2 linked regions of the Rhinolophus ferrumequinum genome follow. The protein of the gene in region 2 interacts with the protein of the main gene of each other region in a pairwise test. Links are inferred from orthologs where the notes say so. Each region holds a gene or a part of one and is shown on either strand. Other genes may lie near its edges.

Evidence for each region.
Region 1: the proteins of PITX1 (region 2) and ZBTB32 interact in a two-hybrid assay, tested with the Homo sapiens proteins (2 studies listed by BioGRID). The link is inferred for Rhinolophus ferrumequinum from reciprocal best matches to the Homo sapiens genes PITX1 and ZBTB32.

Annotation. Positions count from the first base shown.
Region 1 is NC_046298.1:36,075,580-36,087,417, reverse strand, and holds the start of ZBTB32 (zinc finger and BTB domain-containing protein 32), read right to left. Parts: upstream 5,085-11,838; 5' UTR 4,947-5,084; intron 95-4,946; exon of another isoform or gene 34-94; intron 1-33. UniProt on the Homo sapiens protein: DNA-binding protein that binds to the to a 5'-TGTACAGTGT-3' core sequence. May function as a transcriptional transactivator and transcriptional repressor. Probably exerts its repressor effect by preventing GATA3 from binding to DNA.
Region 2 is NC_046307.1:10,740,819-10,752,207, reverse strand, and holds the start of PITX1 (pituitary homeobox 1), read left to right. Parts: upstream 1-6,985; 5' UTR 6,986-7,371; intron 7,372-11,389. UniProt on the Homo sapiens protein: Sequence-specific transcription factor that binds gene promoters and activates their transcription. May play a role in the development of anterior structures, and in particular, the brain and facies and in specifying the identity or structure of hindlimb.

The sequences.
Region 1 (11,838 bases), on a different chromosome or scaffold from region 2:
GGAAGACTCAGCTGGGAAGAAGAAACCACTCACCAGTTGTAGCTTCCTCCTGGACACCGCATGTTCTGAACTGCTGTTTGGGCTCCTGCCCCCAACCCCCAGCTAGCCCCGCCCCTGACCTCACAGTCTTCCATTGGGTGTCCCAAGTATCAGTCTGCCAGTGTCCCCCAACGGGGTGTGGTTTTATACCGCTGGCTGTGCTTCATCCTTCTAGGAGCGACTACCCCCTCTACTTCCAGAAACCACACATCCTGCCTCCTATCCTCCTGTCTCCTTATTTCATTTGTGAACTTCTAGAGCCAAAGAAGTGCACCTGAGGCAACAAGAACTTTGAACTAATCAGACCTGCATTTGAGTCTCATCTGTGCCATTTACTAGTTGAGTCACTTTGAGCAAGTCATCTTTCTGTGCCTCAGTTACCTCATCCATGAAATAGGGATAACCTCTGCTTATCTCATTTGGAGGTATAGTTGAAAATGAAATGATAAATATGACAGTGGTTTTTCAGTACATAGTATCATTCAAATATTATTAGTTCTGTTTCTTAGAGGTGTCAGTAGAGCTCTAGCAGCTGGAAGCTGTTTCTACTATCAGAAATGAAAATGACTGAAACATCTGAATTCCAAGGACAGAGTAAAAGAGGGCCAAAAGCATGTCTAACTTGGTACTAGGAAGCCTTGACTGCTATGTGGGAATGACCACTGGCATCTGGGTCACCACTGGGGACTGGGTGTGTGAGTGACTCAGATCCTCCCATCAAGCTCTGGAGGGGGCAACCCCAGGAAGGGCCTGCGGTGGTCTTCGAAAAGAAAAACTCCTTTTCTTGGGTTGATGACAAATGACATTTCTCTGAAATCAGGACTCCGGGGTTTCTTTCACTTCCTGCCCAAAGGGTCAAGGTCCTCGGAAATTTCCCCTCTTTTCACACTTTAGCACTTAAACCGGGGGAAAGGATGAGGTCTGACAAACTCAAATTTCTTTTTCTGTTTCTTATTCCATTATCCCTCATCCTGTGGCAAATTTTCATTAATTCAACAAGTGATAAATCACTTATGATATGTGCCTGGCATATCATATATGCCCAATAAGTAACGAAGATAAACAAGTCAGGCATTGGTAGGCTGCTCTGGCGACAGGACATAGTCTGGTTCCCCCCAGGCTTCTTGTTTAGATCGTGGTCCCCTCCTAGACTCAAATATTATGTCTCTAAACCCATGTTTTTTTCTTTGGCTCCAGAACCCCCAAATGTTCAGCCTTCTAGTCTCTCTCTCTTCAGACCCAGCATGCCTTCCCTTTACCTTTCATTCTAGCTTGGGTGCAGGCAGATGTTACCCCTTCCTAGGTCAGACAGGGTGTGCCAATGGGTGGGGCTGGTGGAGGGGCAATAATAGGGTGGGGAGAGGGGAAGATGAGTCAGAGTGAAAGGGAAAATGCAAATGAGCAAGTTGTATTCATTTGCTACTCTGAAATGTTTTCCATTTCTTAGCGTTCTAACTCCTCACACCACCACACCCAGGGACGCATTAGACACGCATATAAAAGTCACTTGGCCTGGACACATAAAAGCACCAATCCCTGATATGTATACAGAGGGAAACATCCTCCAACACAGTAATACACAATCCCTGAAGATATGGAATATGTGGGGAAAGCCACGAGGGAGACATCCCCAAGTGTAGAGGGAAAGGTACAGGGGTCTGGAATATGACATCACCATCTAGTGGAGTGTAGTCCCCCTTACCGCCCAGCCCTATATCATGTTTCTGTGACTCAGCGCCCCCACAGGTGTGATTTGCTCATTGATGACCAAGAGAGTTGCAGACTGTGCTCAAAGGGCAGCATCTTCTGTAAGCCAAATGTAGTTGACAGGAAGTGTCAATGGGCTTTTAGGAAATCTAAAAGGGATCGAAAGGAGCAAGGGGACTCCCCATTCAGTGAACAAAAGCCCCCAAGAATGGGAAACCCCATCTTGCCTCCCACTTGGTGTTTACCTCACCTAAGGATATCCCTTTAGAGGTCGCCTCCTTAGAGGTATCTCTAGGGCCCTCTACACCTCAGCCTTTAGGTTGGTGACTCTCTAGGCTCTTCTCTCTCCCTGCGTTCTTGACTGCACAGCCCAAGTCATCTGCTTGCTCTGAGTGAGCACTGACAGCCGATGCAAATAGCTCTTTGATTTGGAAGGACAGGGGCATCGCTGTTTCTATTCTTGAAAGGTCTGCCCTCGCCAGTCTCAGAAACCTTGTCCACCTTCCACTTCCCAGGCTGACTCAGTACAGGCAGAGCCAGAAAACTGCAGGTTATGAGGATGCAAGCCAGCATCTTGGGAGAGGGTAGAGTGCATAGGAGAAATTAGATAGGACATCATTGGAAGAGAAATATGTGGGAAAAGGAGGTATGACTTTTGCCTCTCAGTCCTTTATAATACTAAATAAATTTGAAATCTGGTAATTTTTATTCTTACTGATAAGCTTGACCAAGAGCCCCTACAGACACAACCCAGCTTGATATGAAAATATCAACACAGCAATACAAGTATGGATTCTCTTCAAGTATAATTAAAATTAAACCATCAGAATAGGCCAATTAGAGGAATGGTTATTTGTTTTATGAAAAATATTCTCCCTTTATCTCACTTATTTTAACTATTGAGTATCTCCAAAGTCAAGTTAAGCAAGACTCAATTTAGAAAAATTCTATGAACTTTTCACTCTTCCCAGGAACACCTCTCTTTATGCAAATTAAGGTGGTTAACCCCCCACACACACTCACACACACATAGCATTTTCTAAAGAATAAGACCCGTTATCCAAATCATACATAAACTTTCAAATGTTCACTCTTTCTGGTTAAGTATAATACATCCAAAACATACCAGAGAAGAGACATCACAGAGGGAATTCATTTCCTTCTTCATTTAAATCTATGTTCTGCATAACCCAAAACCAGATACAGCGAGATGAGCTGAATCTGGTCATAGAGACCCCATCATAACACACCTTTTGTGGAGTAAGTGGAAAAATAACGACTAGAAGTCGAAAAACTTAGGTTTCACTACATCCTCACAGTGAAGGGCCTTTTTCTTCAGCCCTAATATGGGGCTAACTCTTCCTCAACTTCCTCACAGGGCCTGTTTTCAAGACAAGTACTGAATACCAGTACTGCCTTAAACCCAGGAAGAGGGCCTGACTCTGACATCCTCTGGCTGTGTCCCTTCCCGTGGGCTGAGGAGTGCAAGGTCATCTAGGAAGTACCCACCTGGAACCTGAGCCGCCCAATTGCAGACCATGCTCTGGGAACTCAGAACTCTGGACCTCCCAGCCCAAATGGCCCACTTCCAGGATCTACATGGTCCTCAACCCCAGATCTATATTCATGACAGTGGGCTGTGGGACTCATGTAACAGCCTAGGCCCTGACTGTGTGTTAGGGGCATGGAAACAGGTTGGACATGCCAGCTAATATGTGAGATACTTTGAAGTGTGCATCAACACCAGGGGTGGGAAGAAAAAGGTGAATCTCCATTTCTAGTCATGCCCAGGCCCCATAAATAATATGGGAGCCTGCTTTATTTCAATACTTCTTAACATCTTAGGGGGTCACCATTCCTTTGAAAATGTAAGCCATGGAATTAACTCCTTACATCGGAAAATTGTAGACTTTTATGACATTTTGCATATGAATGACAGGGGATTCACAGACTGCTCTGAAGCCCGTTATTGAACAGGTCAAATACTCCTGGATTGTCCTTTGACTGCTTTTGCCCCGTACTCCCCAAATCCAACATGCATGAAATTTTATGATTTCCAAGAGTTCACAGACCTTTGAAATCCACTTGTAGACCACCCTTTTGCATTCCCCACTCTTGGTTTAAGAACTCCAAGTATACATGAAAGCACTCTGAAAGCTTTAATAACACGTAGAGCGGGAAAGGCTGAGTGAATATAGATTTCAACACCCTGCCCCGTAAGTATAAAAAGATCTTTGGTAAAGACAACATGGGTGGTTTCCTTAACAGTAGGATATCTCACACATCTCTTCCTGTGCTCAGGTATGATATCCATCTTACTCATGCACCTGCCCCCTGCTTATAGCCTGATGTCTTCTGAGAGTGACCAGAAAGGGTGTGGGAAAGAGGTGAGGACAGGAACTGAAAGGCCCCAGACATGACCCAATCCTGGTTCTATCTAGAGCCACCACAAGGCAATAATACTTCATGGAAGGCAAACAACTTGGCTGGGGTTTGGAGACTCCCCACGCCCTAGAATCTTCAGAAGACCACGAGACTAACCTTCGGGCCACATGGTACAACCTGGACCCAATACTGGAAAATCTGCCAAGAGCACCTCAACTCAGAGTCCAAAGACCCCTAAAAGCCTTGCAGCCTCATGTTCCCAGCACAGCCTGGATGCAATGACCCTTGACAACTTCTCTTTGGGCTTTTGACCTCATCAGTGCTCACTCTCAGCCCAGGTTGCATTCAAAGATGCCAGAAACCTCTCAAATGCCCACTAGTTTAATCTCTTGGCCAGTAATTCCCAATAACCTCTGAAGAATCACAAGTCTCTCCTTCCAGTCGCCAGATCTAGGCTTAGTCCAGAGATCCCAGACAACCTCTCACAGTTCAGAGGCCATACCTCATTGCCAATGACCCCACGCAGGGCTCCAAGGGCTTCCAACTGCCCTACAACACACTTCCAACTCAGGCTGGCTTAGGGACCATGTACCAACTCATAGGACATGCTGGCCAGGCCTCTGCCCAGCCTGGGCCCAAAGTTGTTCAGGAGGCCCCATTTCCAGCCTTTCCAGGGCAGAGAGAGTTCCCAAGGGTCTAAAGCTCTCAGCCCTCATTTCCCAACCCTCACAGCCACCAGTCAAGCCCCCCATACCCCAGCTTTGCTTGGGCCAGGCCCAAGCCTGAAGAAGAGTAAGAAAAACCACGGCACTCACCAACTCAGACCGTGTTCCTCTCCCCACTCAGCCTCACATACACTAAGGGCGGCACAAGCCCAAGTGGCGGTTAGAAAATGGGGAGCGGCGCTAGGCCAGGAACGCGATGCCCAGGCGCGTGCACAGCTCGCTTTTCGCGCCTGGATCCCAAGGCAGATACCGATTGGCTGCGGCGCTGGCGGCACACTCTTTCCTGGCTCCTGCCTGGTGAGCGTGCTCAACTGACTGAGAGGCACCTAGGACAGCTCCACTGCCTCGCGCCCACCGATGATTGGTTGAGGAACTCGCGCCTGCCCTTGTGCTGTGGCGGGGCAGGGCCTTGAGTCTGATTGGTCTGTGGACTGATGCTGGAGGCCTCTAACTGACACCTCGTACTCCAACCTAACTCCAATGCTGATTGGCTGCGCAGTTTGCCTTCTCTCACCCTTTCTATGATGAGACTGAGACTCGAACCTCCTCCACCTGAATAGCCTTGGAGGCTCCCCCGACAAGAGCTCAGGGATACCACCAATTTCTTGCCTTTGAGTAGCTCTCGTTGCAAACCCTTTCACCTTTCTCTCAACCCCTTACATATCTGTGGAGATGTGCGTGATTAGCTGAAAGGCCCTCAAGAGCCACCAGGCTTCATGTGCCTCAGGGCAGCTCGCCTTTCTCACCTCCTGCCCTGCCCCACCACTGATTGGTTGCAGAACGCACCCTGCCTTACCCGGAAGTATTCGGGGACAGGAAAGACGCAAGAGGGGGCAGTGCCTTGACCCAGGAATGGTCCAGATATTCGCGCTTCAAATGCTCATTGACACCTCGACTGTCAGTTGAGCCAGGATCAACTGAGTACTTCGTGTACCAGACCCCCACTACGCTGTATAGAAAATGGCCTATTGCGCTGCCCCGCCATTAGTTGGCCTGGGCTTAGATCCCGGCCAGCAGGCTTTTTGCCTAGGCAGGAATTTGGGCTGACACACCGCGAGCTCGCACCGCGCGAATCTACGAGGGCCACCTGCCTCTCCTCCCACCAGCCCGACTGCGGTTGCACCGCTGATTGGCTGGCCCCACTCTTCTCAGCAGCTTAGCCTTGTGTTCGCGCTTGGACGTATCCAATGAGGAGCAATGGCGCTTTAAGAAGGCGGGCATAGCGTAACCGCTTCCACTTCTGATTGGTCCCGAGGCTTGCAGCTTCGCTTTTAATTGATCAGAGGGCCGGGAGGCGGGAGCCCAACCCAACGGTTTCAAGCGGTTAGGGTTCTGTCCCTGCGCTTCTGTTCAGCTCCCGGGCTCTGCGGAGTGTTGTCTGTCTCTTCCTTCCTTGCGACTCGCTGAGGACCTATAGGTTGGGAGGCGAAGGTGGGGGTTGGCCCAGGAGAACCCTCTTGGAGAGGTCGTGACGCAGAGGAGCCTGGGACGAATAGATGGAGCTGAAACGGGAGGGAGACTGCCTAAGGCGAGTGTCCGGTCCGCGGGAGCAAACCCCTTAAAAAGTAGGGGAAAAACAGGCGCTGTAGCTGTAGCAACAGCAGCTTCCGCTTACTGAGCCCTTTCCGTGTACCACGCACGCTTTGTGCGTCATCTTATTGACTTTTGCTAAGTAACCCTGTGAGGGAGCTGATTACTATGCTGGGTTATCCTCAGAGGTCCGCGGCAAAGTCACTCGTCTCAGGTCCCGCGGTGAATATGGGCGTTGCTGGGACTCCGACCTTGTTCTGGTGAGTCCAGCATTCAAGGTAGCCTACAGTTAAGTAGGGTTGATCTTGTAGATGTGGGATGGTGTCTGATGTGGTCACGTTGGCCCTGGATTACTTCATCTACAAATGAGGGTTTTTGGGGGGTTTTTGATTTTTGTTTTGGACTTAAATCTGATCCTGAAGGCTCCAGCACTTAGCGCATATTTGCAGTTCCTCAGTTTGGCAAATGCATTTGCATTCTAGAAAAGGATATTTTAAAAATCACCTTCATGATGGGTATCTTTGCCACTTTTACCGAACCAGGCCAGTTTGAAGTGCTTTGCATGCATCATTTGATTGAATTCTCATAACAAGCTCTATGCGATACTTACTGTTTTTATTCTCACTTCACAGATAAGCAAATTGAAACTGAAAGAAGATAATTGATTTCCCTAAGATTTCACCAGAAATAATTGCAAGAGCAGATTTGAACTAGGCCTGTTGCAGTCTGACTCCAGAATCTAAGCTCCTAACCATTGGGTACACTGTCTCCCATCCTAACAGCTACAGTGTCCACAGAGTCTGCACACATGGTCCTAGGGAATCCTCAGCTGCCCTAGGAAGAGGAATAATGACAAAACCCATTAGAACAGACAACCAAGGTGCATGGAGCTGAAGACACTCAGTCACATAGCTAGTCCTTGGCAGAGCAAGGAATAGAATAATATATAACCTTCTAATTCAAACCCACATTCTTAATTACTCCCCACACTGCTCCTTTCCTATTTAACAGATGAAGAAAGTGAGACCCTAGGAGAAATCAAAGCTGGAATTCAGACCCAGGTCTATCAGACCCAAGAGATTATCCCTTGAACTAGACTGCCGCTAGGAAGTACTTGTCTAGTAGATCCTGGGTTGGATCCGGTGAGGGGTTCTCTCACCCAGCCAGCCTTGTCTGTAAACAATGAATTCATCTGGTCCTAACGTTGGCCTTAAAGGTGGTTGCGAGTGTATTTCACAGCCTCAGGACCATTGGAGGCTTCTCATTGAGAAGCCCTAGTCATAATTGCTGCCATTTATGGAACACTTTTTATGGGCGAGGCAAGGTGGAAAGCATTCTGCGTCATCTATGCATCATCTCACTGAATCTCTGTAATAATTCTAGGACATAGGTATTGTTATTGTCCCCATTTTACACATGAGGAAACTGAGACCCAGGGAGGGATGGAATATTCCTTTGTGTACAGAGCTAGTAAATGGTGGAAACTGGATGGGAACCCAGAGAGCCTTACTCTAGAGCCCTGAAATCCAGCTACCCAGCATGTGCAGGCATGAGAAGATGGAGTAAGGGACCCTGAGCTCTGGCAAGGTGGAGTAGGAAGGGTTGTTGGCTTCATTCTGGGGGTTGGATTAGGAGAATCAAATGTCTGAGAAGACTAGAGAAATAACTATAACTTACTGAGCAACTACCCCGTGCCAGACCCTATGTTAACTAAGTTTTAATATACATCAAGTAGCAGAGATCCTTGTGGCTAAGAAGCTGGACACTGGATCTAAATTGCCTGGGTTCATATCCTGGCCCTGCTATTTACTAGTTGTGAGACCTTTGGCAAGTTACTTAATCTCTCTTGGCCTCAATTTTCTCATCTGTAAAATGGGGATAATGATAGTAAATCCCTGTCAGGACTGTTGAGAGGGTTAAATAAATTAATAGAACAGTAGAACCCGGATGGGAACCCAGAATGCGTTACTCTTCTCTTCCCCAAAGCCCTAAAACTGAGTTGCTTCCTCAGAGTCACCATCACCTGCCTTGACTCTCATGTAGGCACTGAAAATTAGGCTAGATATTTGCCGTGGGACAAGTGTGCTCCCAAAAGAGGTATAGCAAGTGCAAAGGCCCTGAGACAGAAGTGAGGAACATGTTTGAGGAACAGCAAGAAGTCTGGCTGGAGCCAAGCAGATGACTAAGGTTCAGGAGCTCACCTCAACTGCACAAGTGTTCATAACAGACATAAAAATGATCCTATAACTTTTCAGAGCATAAAGGACTTTCTCCAAGCTTTGATCTCTGGATAAACCCAAGGCCATGATTACTTTTGAGGCTCATAAAACTTAGAACTCAGGGCTTATTGCTCTGCATTCAGGGTTCATGTGTAAGAGTCAGGAGACTTGCATTTACTCAAATATTTATTAAACTTTGTCAGCATATGCCATCTGTGCTGAGCCCTGGAGAAGACTAGCCCCTTTGAAATCTTTAAATTCAAAGATTTAACCTTCTAGAAAGAAATTATATCCTTCCAGAACCAAGTGTAAAGTATAGCAACTGAAACCCAGAAAGGACACTTAAGGCGGGGCGAGGAAGGGAAAAGGGTAAGAGAAGACTTTCTCTATTTTTGGAGTACTTACTATGTGCTACACATGTTCCTTGGTACAGAGTATATAATGGCAAACAAGAAGAGACCATTAGTCCACTGTGGCTGACAGAACAAAACACTGCTGACGGGGTGATTTTAACAACAGAAATTACTTTCTCACAGTTCTGGAGACTGGAAGTCCAAGATGAAAGTGCTGGTGGGGTCGATTTCTCCTGAGGCCCCTCTCCTTGGCTTGCAGATGGCTGCCTTCTCACCGTGTCCTCACATGGCCTTTCCTCTGCGCATGCAGCTCCTGGTGTCTCTTGTTCTTTTTATAGAGTGCTACATACTGAATGTTTGTTCCTGCCTCCAAAAACATCCATATGTTGAGATCCTCCAATGTGATGTGTGGGGGTGTGATCCTCCACACCCCCAATGTGATGGTATTAGGAGATAGGACCTTTGGGTGGTGATTAGGTCACAAGGGTGGAGCCCTCATGAATGGGATTAGTGCCCTTAGAAAAGAAGCCCCAGACAACTCCCTTACCCCTTATACCATGCGATGTTACAGAGAGAAGACAGCCATCGATGAACCAGAAAGCAGGCCCTCACCAGATCCCATATCTGCTAGAGCCTTGATCTTGGATTTCTCAGCCTTCAGCACTGTGTGCAATAAATTTCTGTTGTTCATAAGACACCAAGTCTATGGTGGTCTATTATGGCAGGCCAAACAGACTAAGACATGAGGACACCAGTCTTCCTGGATTAGGACCCTACCCTTATGACTTCATTCAACTTTAATTTCTTCCTTAATGGCCCTGTCTCCAGATACAGTCACATTGAAGGTTAGAACTTCAATATATTAATGGGGGGGGCACAATTCAGTCCATAACAGTGAAAATCTACCATTGAGGGGCTCACAGTCTGTTGGGGAGACGCATATCATTTACTTCAGAGGGAGAGAGCAGAGCAGAATGGTTAAGATGTCAGATCTGACAGGGTTTAGGTCATACCTGTACCACTGACCAACTGTGTGACTCTGAGCAACTTTCTTTAACTTTCTGTGCCTTGAGAGAATCAAATGAGCAGTCACCCACGAAGTTCTTAGAAAAGCCCCAGCACAGTGATCATTAAATGTTGGCTATTGTTATTAATTGCAAGTAAAATTAAAACTGCACTAAGTAGTATGAAGAAAAACCACAAGATAGATACTTTAAGAAAGTAAAACAGGACTCTGACCTAGCCAGGGTTTTCAAGGACGATTTCCTGAAAGCAGTGATGCTTACACTTCAGCTCTGAAGGATTAATACTCACTAACCAGACTAGGGATTGGAGAGCCTTCCGGGTAGTAGAAAAGCAGGTCCTAGAGCTCTAGGGCAGGAGGAAGCATGGCCTGGAGTTTCAATGTCAATGGAACAGACAGAGCAAAACAAGTGGAAGCAGGGCAGAGCTGCTGGTGGTTGGCAGGACCTGGCTTATAGGCCATGCTCAGGACTGCTGGCATTCTCCTCTGAGCCATGCAAAGTCACAGAAAGAAGTGTTTATTTTTTTTTTTTACAGAGAACAGTTTAATGAACCTCTATGTACCTATCATCTAGTTGCTTCAGTTCTCAACATTCTGCCTGATTTCATCAATACTCCTTCATTTAAAAAAATTGTTTTTCTCCATAAACACATTCTACTTAATGAAAGCTATTAGGGCAAAAATCTCTTAAGAAGGGGAAACATAATAAAGGTACTTTATTATTAGGCTATAATACGATCAATAGATACAATGTTTGGACTTGCAGTTTGATCTGTTGTATATTAACTTTGTGTCCTGAAATCTTGCTATAATTGCTTATTAGTTCCAGGAGTTTTTTCTTTTTATTGATTCTTTTGGATTTTCTACATGGACAATTATGTCATCTATAAAAAAGAGTTTTATTCCTTCCTTCTCTATCGGTATACCTTTAATTTCCTTTTCTTCCCTTATTGCATTAGCTAGGACTTCCAGAATGGTGTTGAAAAGAAGTGGTGAGATGGGTCATCCTTGGCAATTTGATCTTAGGTGTTCTTTTGGTATAGCAAGAAGAACTTGAACACTAGGGACATTCCTTTAATTATGTGTCCAACAGTACTGAAGTAGAACTCCAAAAACAGAATTTTCTTAACCTTTTACCTTTTCTACTTTATTTCTTTCCATTCCAGTGCCCATGGCAACTGAGAAGACATCTAAGAGGCATCTAAGCAATTCTTCATGTCTTTAATGTCTCCTACTTGGTTTTTTTTTTTCTTTTTTTCTTTATTTTATTTTTTAATTTATTGGGGTTACACTTGTTAGTAAAATTACATAGATTTCAGGTGTGCAATTCTGTATCACATCATCCATAAATCATACTGTGTGTTCACCACCCAGAGTCAGCTCCCCTTCCATCACCATACATTTGATCCCCCTCACCCTCATCCCCCACCCCCCAACCCCCTTACCCTCTGGTAACCACCAAATTACGTTCCCCAGATTAATTTTCAAACCCATGGCCATTTTGTGGTCACCAACTGCCCTCCAATCCCCTCCCCCTCCCCCCCTCCTACTTGGTTTTTGAAACATGAATTTACTTAAAGCACTGTTCCCTTAATCTTCTGTGATTCTTGACATTTGGAAAAAGGCACCTATTCTTAGGACAGCTCTTTGGTGACCGGAGGAAAGGCTCAAAGTCCAGGCTGTTGTTAGCACCAACTGCTTCCCATCTGGCTTTGTCCTGGGAACTGCAGGCCACATGAGGAGATCACAACTATGGAACACTCTCAAATAGGAGCATTTAACTACTTCTGCTGGGGACTGCTGGTGTCTTTTTACCATCCTGGATCCCCTGTGGTAGATGATTTGTTAAAATGGCC
Region 2 (11,389 bases):
ACAGGAAGCAGGAACCACACGATCTGCAATCCGCCGTCCGCTTCTCTGCCAACCAACCAACCCTGCTGGCCGCAATCCGCCGTCTGCTCTGCCAACCAACCAACCCCCTAGCGTAGCCACGGCAGTTATATTAGTGGCTAATGGCTCACCGGTAACAGCTGACGGCCACCCAGACACAGCGGATGGCCATCTGATAACCGAGCCAGCACCTTTCCACGTGAGGCCGAGAGCCTAGAAACTGCTCTCTGGGGCTCTGTCCCCACAGAGCCTATGCCAGATGGGGACCCCAGAGGGCAGAGATGTTCTGAGAGCAGTGAGTCTCTGGGCCTCAGTTTCCCTATATGTACAATGGGAACAGAGAAGGGAGGGAGTTCCTCCACATGGAGCTGCCTCAGACCCTCAACACAGGGCAGGACACGGGGAGAGGCCGAGGTGGGCACAGGTCCAGGGGTCCAGGCAGATCTCCTCCTCCTCTGAGCCTGCACTTTTTGGATCCTTGTGGACGGAAATGACGCCCACTTTATAGGTTTGCTCTGAGAACTACACGAGCTAACGCAGGGGAAGACGTTAGCCAAGGCCCGGAACACACCCGGTGCTTAATCCATGGGAGCTGGTGTTATCGTTACTATTATTTGTGATCGTGGGCAAGTCCCTGAGCCTCTTCCAGCTCTTCTCTCCCTCATCTGTTAAATGGGCTGACAACTGATTGTGATGAGGAAATGACCTGATACAAAGAGCCCCGCAGAGACCTGGCATACAGCTGGTGCTCAGAAAACCTTAGCCACTCTGCAAGCATCCAGTAGGTGTTTAATAGGTGCTTACAGACTTGAATCACAAACAGCTACCAGGAAATTTAAAAGGTGCAAGGAACAGCAGGTCCGTGGGGGTTTTTCCATCAGGGTAGAACGGGGACACCTCGGCCACGGACCCTCGTGGAGAGGCTCCTTACCCTGCAGCTTGCGAACTGTGGCCAGGGAGCCCTGGGGCTCCTCGGGGTACTTGTAGGGACAGAAGGGGCTGTGAGGGGGCGGGCAGAAGAGCCCACATCGATACCCTCAAGCAGAGCAGCAGTGCATCCGTCTAGTTAGAGGACCTGGTGAAGTTCCATTTGAGAAACGTGCCCTGCTGCTAGAAGGGATCCAAGTTCTCATTTCTCCAGTGAAGAAAATAAAGCCTAGAGATACCCAGGGGCAAGGAAGCCAGCACATAGGAGCTGTGAAGCCCTTCTCGGTACCTCTTCAGGCTGCTCCTCATGACATCGGGCAAGAGGTACCTCTCCCTCAGGCAATAAGGACACCCAGACTCAGCCTGCCCTTCACTAGCTTTGTTGTTCCCCTGCCCCCATCCCAGCTCCAGGACAAACTCCTGCTATCCCCACAGTGCAGGGGAAGGTCACTTCCTCCAGGAAGCCTGCTCTGACCCCCAGGTTAGGCCTGCTGCCCCTGTTCTGTCTCCCACAGCTCCAAACCTGCCCCACTCCTAAAGATGCATCATCTTTAGATTCAGTCCCTCAGGAAGGATTGCCCTGGGACTGTCCATCATCCCTGAGTCCCCAGCACCCCCCCCCTACACACTCCCCAGTGCCAGCACACAGAGTGGGTGCTTAAAAACTGCCTGGTGGATGAAGAAATGAAGAACAGCCTCCATTGTCCTGATCTATAAAAATGAGTAAATCCCACCTTCCAAGATGAGAACAGTGAGCCACACTTACTGTGGCTGGCAGAGCTCCCACAGCAGGGTCCTTCTCCTGCTGCCCTGGGCAGGTTCTCAGGGCAGCAGCCAGGCAGCCACTACCCACCAGTTTCCTTAGACATGGCAGAGCCTCACCTCAATGACCAGAGGCCTGTGCTGGCCACGTGGGTTTCCTCACCAAGACCCCAGGGCTCCTCACCCAGCAGGTACGTCTGCCAGGCCAGCACACCTTCCCAGCACTAATATTTACTTAGGATTTACAGAGAAGGGAAAAACACAAAGTGCTTCAAAGCACTCTGCAGAGGAGAAGGGACCCCGAAACCCTGGGGACCCAGTGGGAACTCCCATAGCTGGCCCTGAGCTAACCCAGGACCTACCGAGGACTGCTCTTAATAAGCCCGTGAGGCGTGGCTGAGGCCGGGTCCGACACACTATGGGCACCTCTCTACCTCCCAGCTTTACTCGGCAGGAACTCTCGGCATCCCCCATTGAACAGCTGAGAAAATGAGGCTCACGGTGGTGAGGGGGCAGGGCTGGGATCCCCACCCAGTCTGGCTCCAGACAAGCCATGAGTGCTTAATAGAATCTGGGCCAAACGTGAGCACACAGAACATCTCATGTCCCCAAGTTCTACAGCGCTCGGCCCTGAGAGTAGGGCTGGCGTGCAGGGGAGCTGGGGGGCCAGCCTGGAGTGAGGCACTAGAGGTGCAGGTTCCCAAACCACCCTCACGACTCTGCACAAAACACACTCCCCACAGGGCAGTCGGCCGAGGAGCCCCAGAACAAACGGTAGTCACTTTGCAGCCACCAGTCTTGTGCATCCAGGATTCCTGGCTGAGCGGAAGCAGCCCCATTCCGAGGAAACATCAATATTTCATGGGCAGCTCCCTCCTGGCCTCCAATCGTGTTTTCAATTGTCACGAAACAATTCAGAATTTCCAACTCAGGGCTAATAGGCTGCCGTCAGCCGGTCAGCCCGAGCAGGCAGGAGTAATTATTTTAAAAGCTTCCGACAAGGCTGTTCGGCACGCCGCCTCCCAAACTGTGTGCGGTAGTGGCTGTGCCCCTTTGGACTCTGAGCTCCCTGTCTCCCCTCCCCTCCCCCACCCCACGCAGCAAGCAGACGTCTGGAAGGCACTGGCTGCAGAGCCTGTGAGGATGGGAGAGACAGACCAGGCTTACAGAAGGGTAAACCGAGGCCCTCTTAGGGGCACGTCTAGAAAGGCAGGGGCCACACGTCTTACTTTCGTATTTCCCACACCGACCTGTGGCCTCCTGTGCTCATGGTGGATGGATGAACTGATAAACAAAGAAAAAGATGGATGGAGTGGCTGAGTGAAGGACGTTGCAATACTCTGTTCCTCTCTTACCTCCTGAAGTCCATCCTCCACTATCCAGGTAGTGACCGTTCTAGAATCTACAGCTGACCAGACCTCTCACTGTTTCAACCCTTCATCGGTTCCTCTTTGCCTTCAGGATAATATCCCACCCTCCTAACGAGGATTATGAAGCCCTGTGGTATCTGCTACCCACTCAATTCACCAGCTTCTTCTTCCCCCATTCTCTGCCTTTCCACCTGTCCCAGTGCTATCCCACAGAGGGGTTGGTGGCGGTGGAAAGCTGTTCCAGACAAACTCAAGGCCTGTATGTCACTCAGGGCCCTTCAACACCAGGCTTCGGATTTCCTCTCCAGCACTGTGCTCCAAATACGTTTATAGGTTGGTGTGCCTGCCTCCTTGACTCAACCCAAATGAGCAGGAGCCAACCGTCTTTGTATCTCTGCCATCTCAGGCACAGAATATGTGCTCTTTAAACTTTTGCTGACCTGAAAGAGGCCAATCCAGAAAGGTCCCAAACCAGGGCTCTTTCCACTAGTCCATGCAGATGCTGATAGGTCTGCAACGAAAAAAATTACTTGAGATATCCAAATGGTTTCTATTTTTGCTCTGGCTGCCAGGAAGCTCAGAGTGCAATATAATAATGCTAAAATAAATTAATATCTTATCTGGTCATAAGGATTCTTCTCTAACTTTAGAGTCTCTAACTCGCTCCTCACAGATGACAAAGGGAACACAAATAGATGCCCCCCTCGCTCTGTGGATTCACCGCTGTATGTGAGTCAACAGACTCTGAGCCACCTCTCAGACGTTCCGGTAGCCCTCCAACCCTCCCACAGATGAGCGCAGGAACAATCCTGATGGACTTCAGACTCTCTCAACAGAGCCAATGCCTCCCCATCACATTGGAGTGGACGCCCTACTAACTCCATCAGCAGCCCGAAGAGAACCTTCACAGGGAAGGGACTTCTTTGCAAAGCAACCCATTCCCTGCCACCAGCAGCTCAGAGACCTTGTTCCAGGACAGCAACCAGTATTCCTCAGGGAGTGTGGTAAGTATTTCTTAAGATGGTGGAGCTCCCTTTTCACCCTTCTGGGGTGGAGCTTGTGACCGTAACCTGGTCATCCGCAGTCCTGAGCCACTCTTCCCCAAAAAGTGACTGGTTCAGCAGTGGGCATGTGAGCTGCACCTAACCAGTCAGCAAAACCAAATCCCTCCCCCCCCCCCAGGGAGTGTCCTATGGGTGGCAAGAGAGGCTCGGCTCTGCTCTCAAGCTTACAAAGTGGTAGGTGGATAACAGGTTTCCATCGATGATTACACAAATATTGATTTCAATACCATGGCTACAAGAGCGATGAAGGGAAAGGACACACTCCCTATTTTCACTGAATATTGAGATAAGAAACACAGCTCGAAGAATTGTTACGCCTGTCCGTGGAACTATGGCTGAGGACATTTGCCCATTATGTTTAGTACGACCCACGTGACAAATTCATCTCAGAGTTCCGTACTAGGGAGAACAACTTTTGATTAGAGGAAGCATGTCAGTTTGGAAGGAAACACAAAGCAAATGTGTCAGACAATTTTGCTGCCCTTTTTTGATTGGATACCTGGAAGCTAAAGTGATATTCAGACTGTGTTACTTCTGTTCCTGGTGGTTTCAGCTCCAACCTTCCTCTCTCTGACTGATCCCTCTTCCTTTGCCAAGATGGCGAAACCTAAAGAGAAATTGTGAAAAATTATTTTTCAAAGAAGTGAAAATAAGGTAATAAAAAACGTGTTTTGACCCACCTCAGTTCACCAAGAATTTCCAGGCCATCACGTGCTGGTCCCACCCCAACGGCTTGCCCAGCTTCCCTGGTCTGAAACTTGCTAGTAGCTAAGCAGGGGATGAGGGGTTTGTCAATTAAATCAAAGAAGGGGGCTGCTGCTGCCTTACTCAACCAACATGACCACCCTGGGGAAAGGAGGAAACAAAACTGTGAGCAAACTGTTTTAAAGAGCAAAGCAACCTGGCAGCTACCAGCATGAACATTCATCCTGGCTGCCCACCCCCACATAGGTCCGCACCCCTCACCTCCATCATCTCATAGATTTCTCTATGCCGTGGAAACTCTTATTATTCTCCCATTTCACAGATAGGGAAGCTGAGGCTGGGAGAGCTTATGTGATTTGCCCAAGGCCACAGAGCCAGTAAAAGACAGAAACAAGATTCCAACTCTGGCCATCAGGTCTCAGAGGCAGCTTTTTGGCACCACAGGCTCTGCCTGGGAACAAAAGCACGCAAAGAATCACACACACATGCCCAGTCACCACTGGGAAGACAACCAGGAAAATCACCAGTGTGCAGGGGTAAGAAGGTACAGTTTCCTAACACAAGCGCCAGAGTGAAAGCTTGATGCTTGCTGGGCCCTCCATACACAGTAAGGGTCCAGTTGCATTATGTCGGAAGAGGCCCCGGGAGCCTGGGGTGTGGAGGGGAAAGCTGCTTGAGACAAGGTCGGAAGAGTCTCAGCTTAGCAGCTCTGGGCCAGACCCGCCAACAGACCAGTTCCTCACATAAAACAGCCCTCGTAGCAGCAGGAGAAGCAGAGGCTAGAATTCCTGAAGTGCAAGCTCCAAGCTTGTGTTTCTGCCACCCCGGGACCAGGTCTGAAATCACGGGAGCCAAGGACTCAGCTCTTAACCCTTCCAGTCTTGTGTGCACCAAGCCACACACACCCACCGGAAAGGTGTTCCCACTGTTGAGAGTTGAGGGGACGCTGTGGATTACCCAAACAGCAGGGCAGGGTGCAGGGGCCAACCCTCGATCTGAGCGCCAAAGCCTCCCGAGCTTGGGTCAGGCAGGCTTCTGCTTTGGCTGTCAGGAGGGGGTCCTGGGTCATCCTGTTCCCGGGCCAGGTGGCCCTGGAGGCGCGGGTGAGCAGGGCACTGGGGCAGGCGCGGGGGCCGTGGCCTCTCACAGCAGCTGTTGGTGAGAACCAGGCAAGGAGGCGCCACCGATGACGGCACCTCATGAAACATTGATGCCCGGCCGCCGCACTGCCATCTCCCGGCACCTTGAGCCAAAGCTGCCGCCCTGGAGCACCGCAGCCTCCGGCGGGCAGGCCCCACACTCCTGAACCTGAAGGTCATCGTCCCCTGACAGTCTGACCAGCAGACCCACTGTCCCGTCCCAGGGCCCAGGCTCACACTGGGCACTTGGGGGAAGCAGGAGCCTGTTCCACCGCTTGCTTCCCCCACAAGGCTTCCCGCCGGGTTATCCGGTCATAGGCAGTCCTGGAGAACCTGGTGGCCTGGAGAGCACCCAGTCCCCCTCATTCCTGCCCAACTCCCAATGGCCACCAGCCAGGGACAGGACAACGGGGCCACATGGATTGCATCCTCTCCAGTGTGAGGGCCTGCCAGCAGGGCGACCGCTGGAGGGTGTGGAGAGGGGCTGGACGAGGGGTTACAGAAGCGTCTGTCCTTGTGGGGTCGGTCTCCCCTTTCCTCGTCAGCCCAACCCCTGAGAGGAGGATGTGGGAGGGGGGCAATCCTCCTAGCAGGGCAGGTCGGCCAGTTGCCCCTCCCCAGTCACACACACACACACACACACACACACACACACACACACACACACACACACAAACCCTGGGGTCTGTCCTCAAACCTCCTTGGCAGCCAAGCTCTGCTCCGAGGACTCTCCCTGCCAACTTGCAAGACCAGCTCCCTCCCGCAGAAAGGGGAAAAGGTCGAATCGCAAAACCCGGCTTGACCGTCACCTGGCAGGACCCTGGGAAACTCCGACCAGACCCGGACTAAACGTTGGTCGGGCTCGGCCCCTCACGTGCCAGGTGGGAAACTGAGCCCAAGGGAGAGAAAGTACGCGGGGCCTGGCCAGGACTCGCCGTGGCTTCGTCCGCATGCGGCCGGGCCCCTCCTCCATGAACGCTGTCCTGTGCTGCGTTCGCCGTCCTCGGGCCCCGGCCATCAGCCACGCCGACGACCCCTGCCTGCGCCTCGAGGGAGGCCCGGACCCCTAGCCAGCCGGACTGCGCGCCGCCCCCTCCCCGCTGGTCCAGGCAAGAGCCTCGCTTCCCCTCCCCCCTTCCCGCCTCCCAGGCCCGTGTCCCCGCCTTCCCCGCAGGCGACGGGTGGCGGCGGCAGGAGGAGCGGGCCCTGCCGAGGCAGCCCGGACCTTGCTCACTGGGATGTAGCGAACCAGCGGGGACCAAAGCTGCGCGCACAGCCGGGGACGCAGCTGGATCCGGGACCCGGCCGAAGTCGAAACCTAAGCCGGAGTCCGTGGCGAGCGAGCCCGGAGCCGACGAGCCGCACACGCAGCGCAGCCCGGGTCGGGTAAGAGTTGTTGGGCTAGGGGCGCCGGGTCTCCGCAGTGTTGGGGCGCAGGGAGGTGGTGGCCGAGTTCTGTGCTGTTTACTCCGCGAGTATGTAGGGACCAGCCAGTGGAGCGGGACTAAGCACATCGCGCGGAAGGCCAGGGTCCATCGAGGCAGCGCGAGGAGCTCGCTCCTACGCCAAGCGCACGGTCACAGCTGCCATCACCGGGCGCTACCTCACCTAACCGGTGGGCACACCCTACGCTTCAGCTCCGGGTAACCCAAAAGGGCAGCAGGCTCAGGGGCGCGGGCCCCAGCCCTGCGAAGGGCATAGCCTTGCATGTCTTTCACAGCCCCTCGTGGCGGCGCGGGCCGCAGGGTACCTCCGGGAGAAAGGGCCGGTGACAGGGCCACCCGCCGCTCCCCGTTGCGCCCGGGAAAGGGGCCCCAACACGAACGGAAGCGTTGGCCCCTCTGCACGCCGAGGGACTTCGGCCTTAGCTTCGTGTCAAGAGGGTATTTTTCCTAAACGAAACCGCTTCATTCGTTCGCTCGTTCGTTCCGGCAGCTATGCCGCAGAAAAGCCTCAGACGTGGGCCGCAGTCCCGGCGCTCTTCGCCGAGGATCCCGACGTCCCACCGCAGTGCTGGAGGCGCCCCAACCCCCGGCGGCCTGCCTCGCCGGCAAGGGTCGGGCTTTTCCTTACCCTAAGAGAAACCCCAAATGCTCTTCGCAAATCCAATAAAGACATCCCCGCGGCTTCTTCAGGGCGCAGTGGTTGACACAGGGAGCCTAAGCACGCAGCCGCTTCTCTAGACCCGGGTCCGGAATTCTGAAATTGAGCAGCCTTCTGAATCTGAGCGATTTGGGCCGCGCTAAAGCAAGGGCCCCGTGGGCGGCATCGCAGAAATGGGGATCCCAGGCTGGAATCCTTGTTCCGAGGTTTTCCGATTTAGGGATTCCCTTAATCTAAACTATCTGTGTCCACTTTTCTGAGAAACTAAGGCTCGGGTATTCTCTTGGCATTCCCAGTGGTCTCTGACAGCCACCAGGGCCAGAGGGAAGGCAACTCCAGGTTGCTGTCCACTTGGTCAAGGACACAGGTCTGGGGTGATGGCAAAAGCTACAGGCAGCAGGGGCAGCACAGGAGGGGACTTGCTGGCCCCTGCCCTTCCCTCACTGCTTTGGGACTCCTCATCTCTACTCAGAAAAGTTAAAAAGGTGGACGGGGACATGGAGACCAGGCTACCTGGATTCTAGGACACAGAGGTGGTATTTGCTGACCTTCAAGCCAGGCTCAGAGTGCCTTCCTCTCAGGAAAGCGGCTGCTGGGAAGAGGAGACCGTGGTAGCAAAAGCTGACCCTCTGCTCCCCAGGTGTGTGACAGCCCCTGCCACTTCCCTAGCCTTCTCTTCCTATCAGCTCAGCTGTTTTGGGGAACCAGATAGCGACCACTGGACTGGGGTGAGCTGTGAGCCCAGAGAGCGATGGGCCCTTACCAGCTGCTGACTGAGCGTTCTGAGTTCCGTGCTCCCATCTCCGCCCCATTTAGCCAACCTGGCTGAATACTTCTCAGCTCTTTCCCCACCAGGACAGGCTGGGGAACCCCAACTGACAGGAAGTTTCAGGCCGGGGTCCTCTGAAGCCTAAAGAATCCAGTAAGATTGTTCCCAGCCTCTACCTGAGTACCTCTTTTCCCCTCACCCAGTAATTGCTTCTATTCAAAGAAACAAAAGCTTTTTTATTGGGGAGGGGGTCTTAAAACCAGGCGGAAGGCAGTAGGTGGTCCCGTCTGCACTCCCAAAACTGGGTTTTCTAGTTTGAAGTTCCCCACGGCCTAAGAGGCTTAGGGCTGGAATGTCCCAGAGTCACGGATGGCCCCAGCGGGCGTGGGGGGTGGGGGGCAAGCCATGGCACATTCCTTCCCTTTTCCTAAAATCCCTTGATTCTGGCGCAGAGATTAGGGCGGAGTACCCTCATGAGTGGGTGGAAGGATGCCCTCCATGAGGACCCTCCAACCACCCTTCCCAAATAAAATGACGAAAGCATTCTTGGACACAGAGTCTGTTTTGAGTGAGACCAGCCTCAGGAAGGGTCCCTGTGGTGACGCTTCAACCCCCACTACAGCCCAGGCTCCTCTCTGATCAGCCCAGCCGGGACTCTAAGCCCCAAATTTCCTGAGAGTCACAAAATCATCGCTAACTCTGTGTGGCCTGGAGCCACGGAGACTGGGGCACATGGTTCCAGCCCCAGTAAGCCCCCTTCCCTCCTCTCCACATGTCCCATCGTCAAGCGGGCTGGAGGCTGAAGCAGAAGGCAGGGATTGCTGTGTCCCATGTGAGACAGGGGAACTGAGGCACAGTGCAGGTCAAACCTTGCCCAAGGTCACACAGCAAAGCCAGGGGAATACTGGACCCCTACATTTACTCCTGAAAGAGAGCTGCCTCCTGTTCTGTGTGTTGGTGTGACTTATCTGTGAGAGTGCAAGAAGCCCCTACACTACCTGGGATGGTGGCCAGTGGAGGGTGTGGCTGGGGAAGCAGAGAGAGAGTGCCCTGGTCCCTTCTCCAGCCAACACCCAGGATCAGGCCAGGGCCTCCTTTTTATCCATCACTTCCTCGCCGTGCCCCCACCCCATTCCGCACTACCTGTCCAGCAGAACAGACTCCCCAGGGAAGTTCCCAATAGTGTCAGCCCCTCTCTAGGGCTCAGGGCCCCTGGAGATATGGAGCTTCACCTACAATAGCCTGAGGGCCTTTCCATCCACACAGCAGGCATCAAGACTTCCAAATATAGGGAGTATTGTGACTGCCTGGGTCATTATCAGAGGCTTGGGGCCAGAGGGGAACACAGCAGGTGCTCAATCACTGCATCAAATGGATCAATGATGAGGGATGCAAGCCCCTCAGACTGAATAGCTAGACCTGCAGAGTCATAAAAGAGTCCCCGTCCATGGAAGTCCTGACCCTTTAGAGCCTCTGAGGAGTGAAGAGCTGTGATCCTCAGCCTCTGGGTGCCCACAGGCGTACCATTCATTCCATGTCCTGGGACCCAGTGTCCTGGGACCCAGAGTCCCTGGCCTGACACTTGGCGGGCTTAGAACACATCTCCTATGCCCTACCAGCCAGATTTTGTGCCAAACATCACCAGTGTCCCGGGATCCAGAGTCCTGGCTGTGTGTACATATGTGACTGTCCTCAGCACTCCCTCGTATGGGTGCAGTATGTGTGTCGCTGTGTACACAGCACACCTGTGTGGGTATGCAGTCTGTGGATGTGTGCGCATGCTCCCATGTCCTGTCTGTACCCAACAAGCTGGGTGGCACGCTGTCCTGTGGGCATAAGGGAGCCATATGAATGGTAGTGTGTGGACGGGCACTCCTTGGTGTTCTGCAGCACTTGGATACCTCCTTGAAAGGAGACATCTGCTGCTTCAGGAGACTCAGTCAAAAAAAATTGTGGTAAGGATGGGGCTGATAGCAAATGCTGGGCCACCATACTTCACACACACACCAAGACTATTTTCTTCCTGGGGGGGTCTCAGTTTAAGAGAAACTTCCCTTTGGGAGGAAAGGGCAGGAGTCACTGAGCTTCCTCCAGCCAAAGTCATGGCTGCAGCCTCAGCCTCAGCCTCAGCCCCTGCCCTCTGTGCTCACAGGCACCAAGTGAGAGTGGGCCAGGCCCAGAGGGTGGGCCTTGGGCAGAGGCAGAGGCAGTGAGAGACAGGTCTGGTTCCAGCCTGCGCCTGCCCCTGCCCCCCAGTCCTCACCGAGGAGCTCAGCCTGAGGCCTCCCTCTGATGGGGAGCCCGGGTGAGGGCTCAAGGCAGAGCATCCCGATGCTGACAGCCCGCATGCTCAGTCCCAAGCAGAGACCTCCAGGAAGAGACGAGGATGCACTGGGCCCTGGGGGAGGCCCTGGGCCTGGAGAGTAGGGCAGTGCTGCTCCTATCTGGTGGAACTGGTCAGCAGGTGAGGAGCAGAGGGCAGTCGGGTCCAGCAGTGGGCAGAGGAACAGTTCAGGGTCGCACCCTACCACC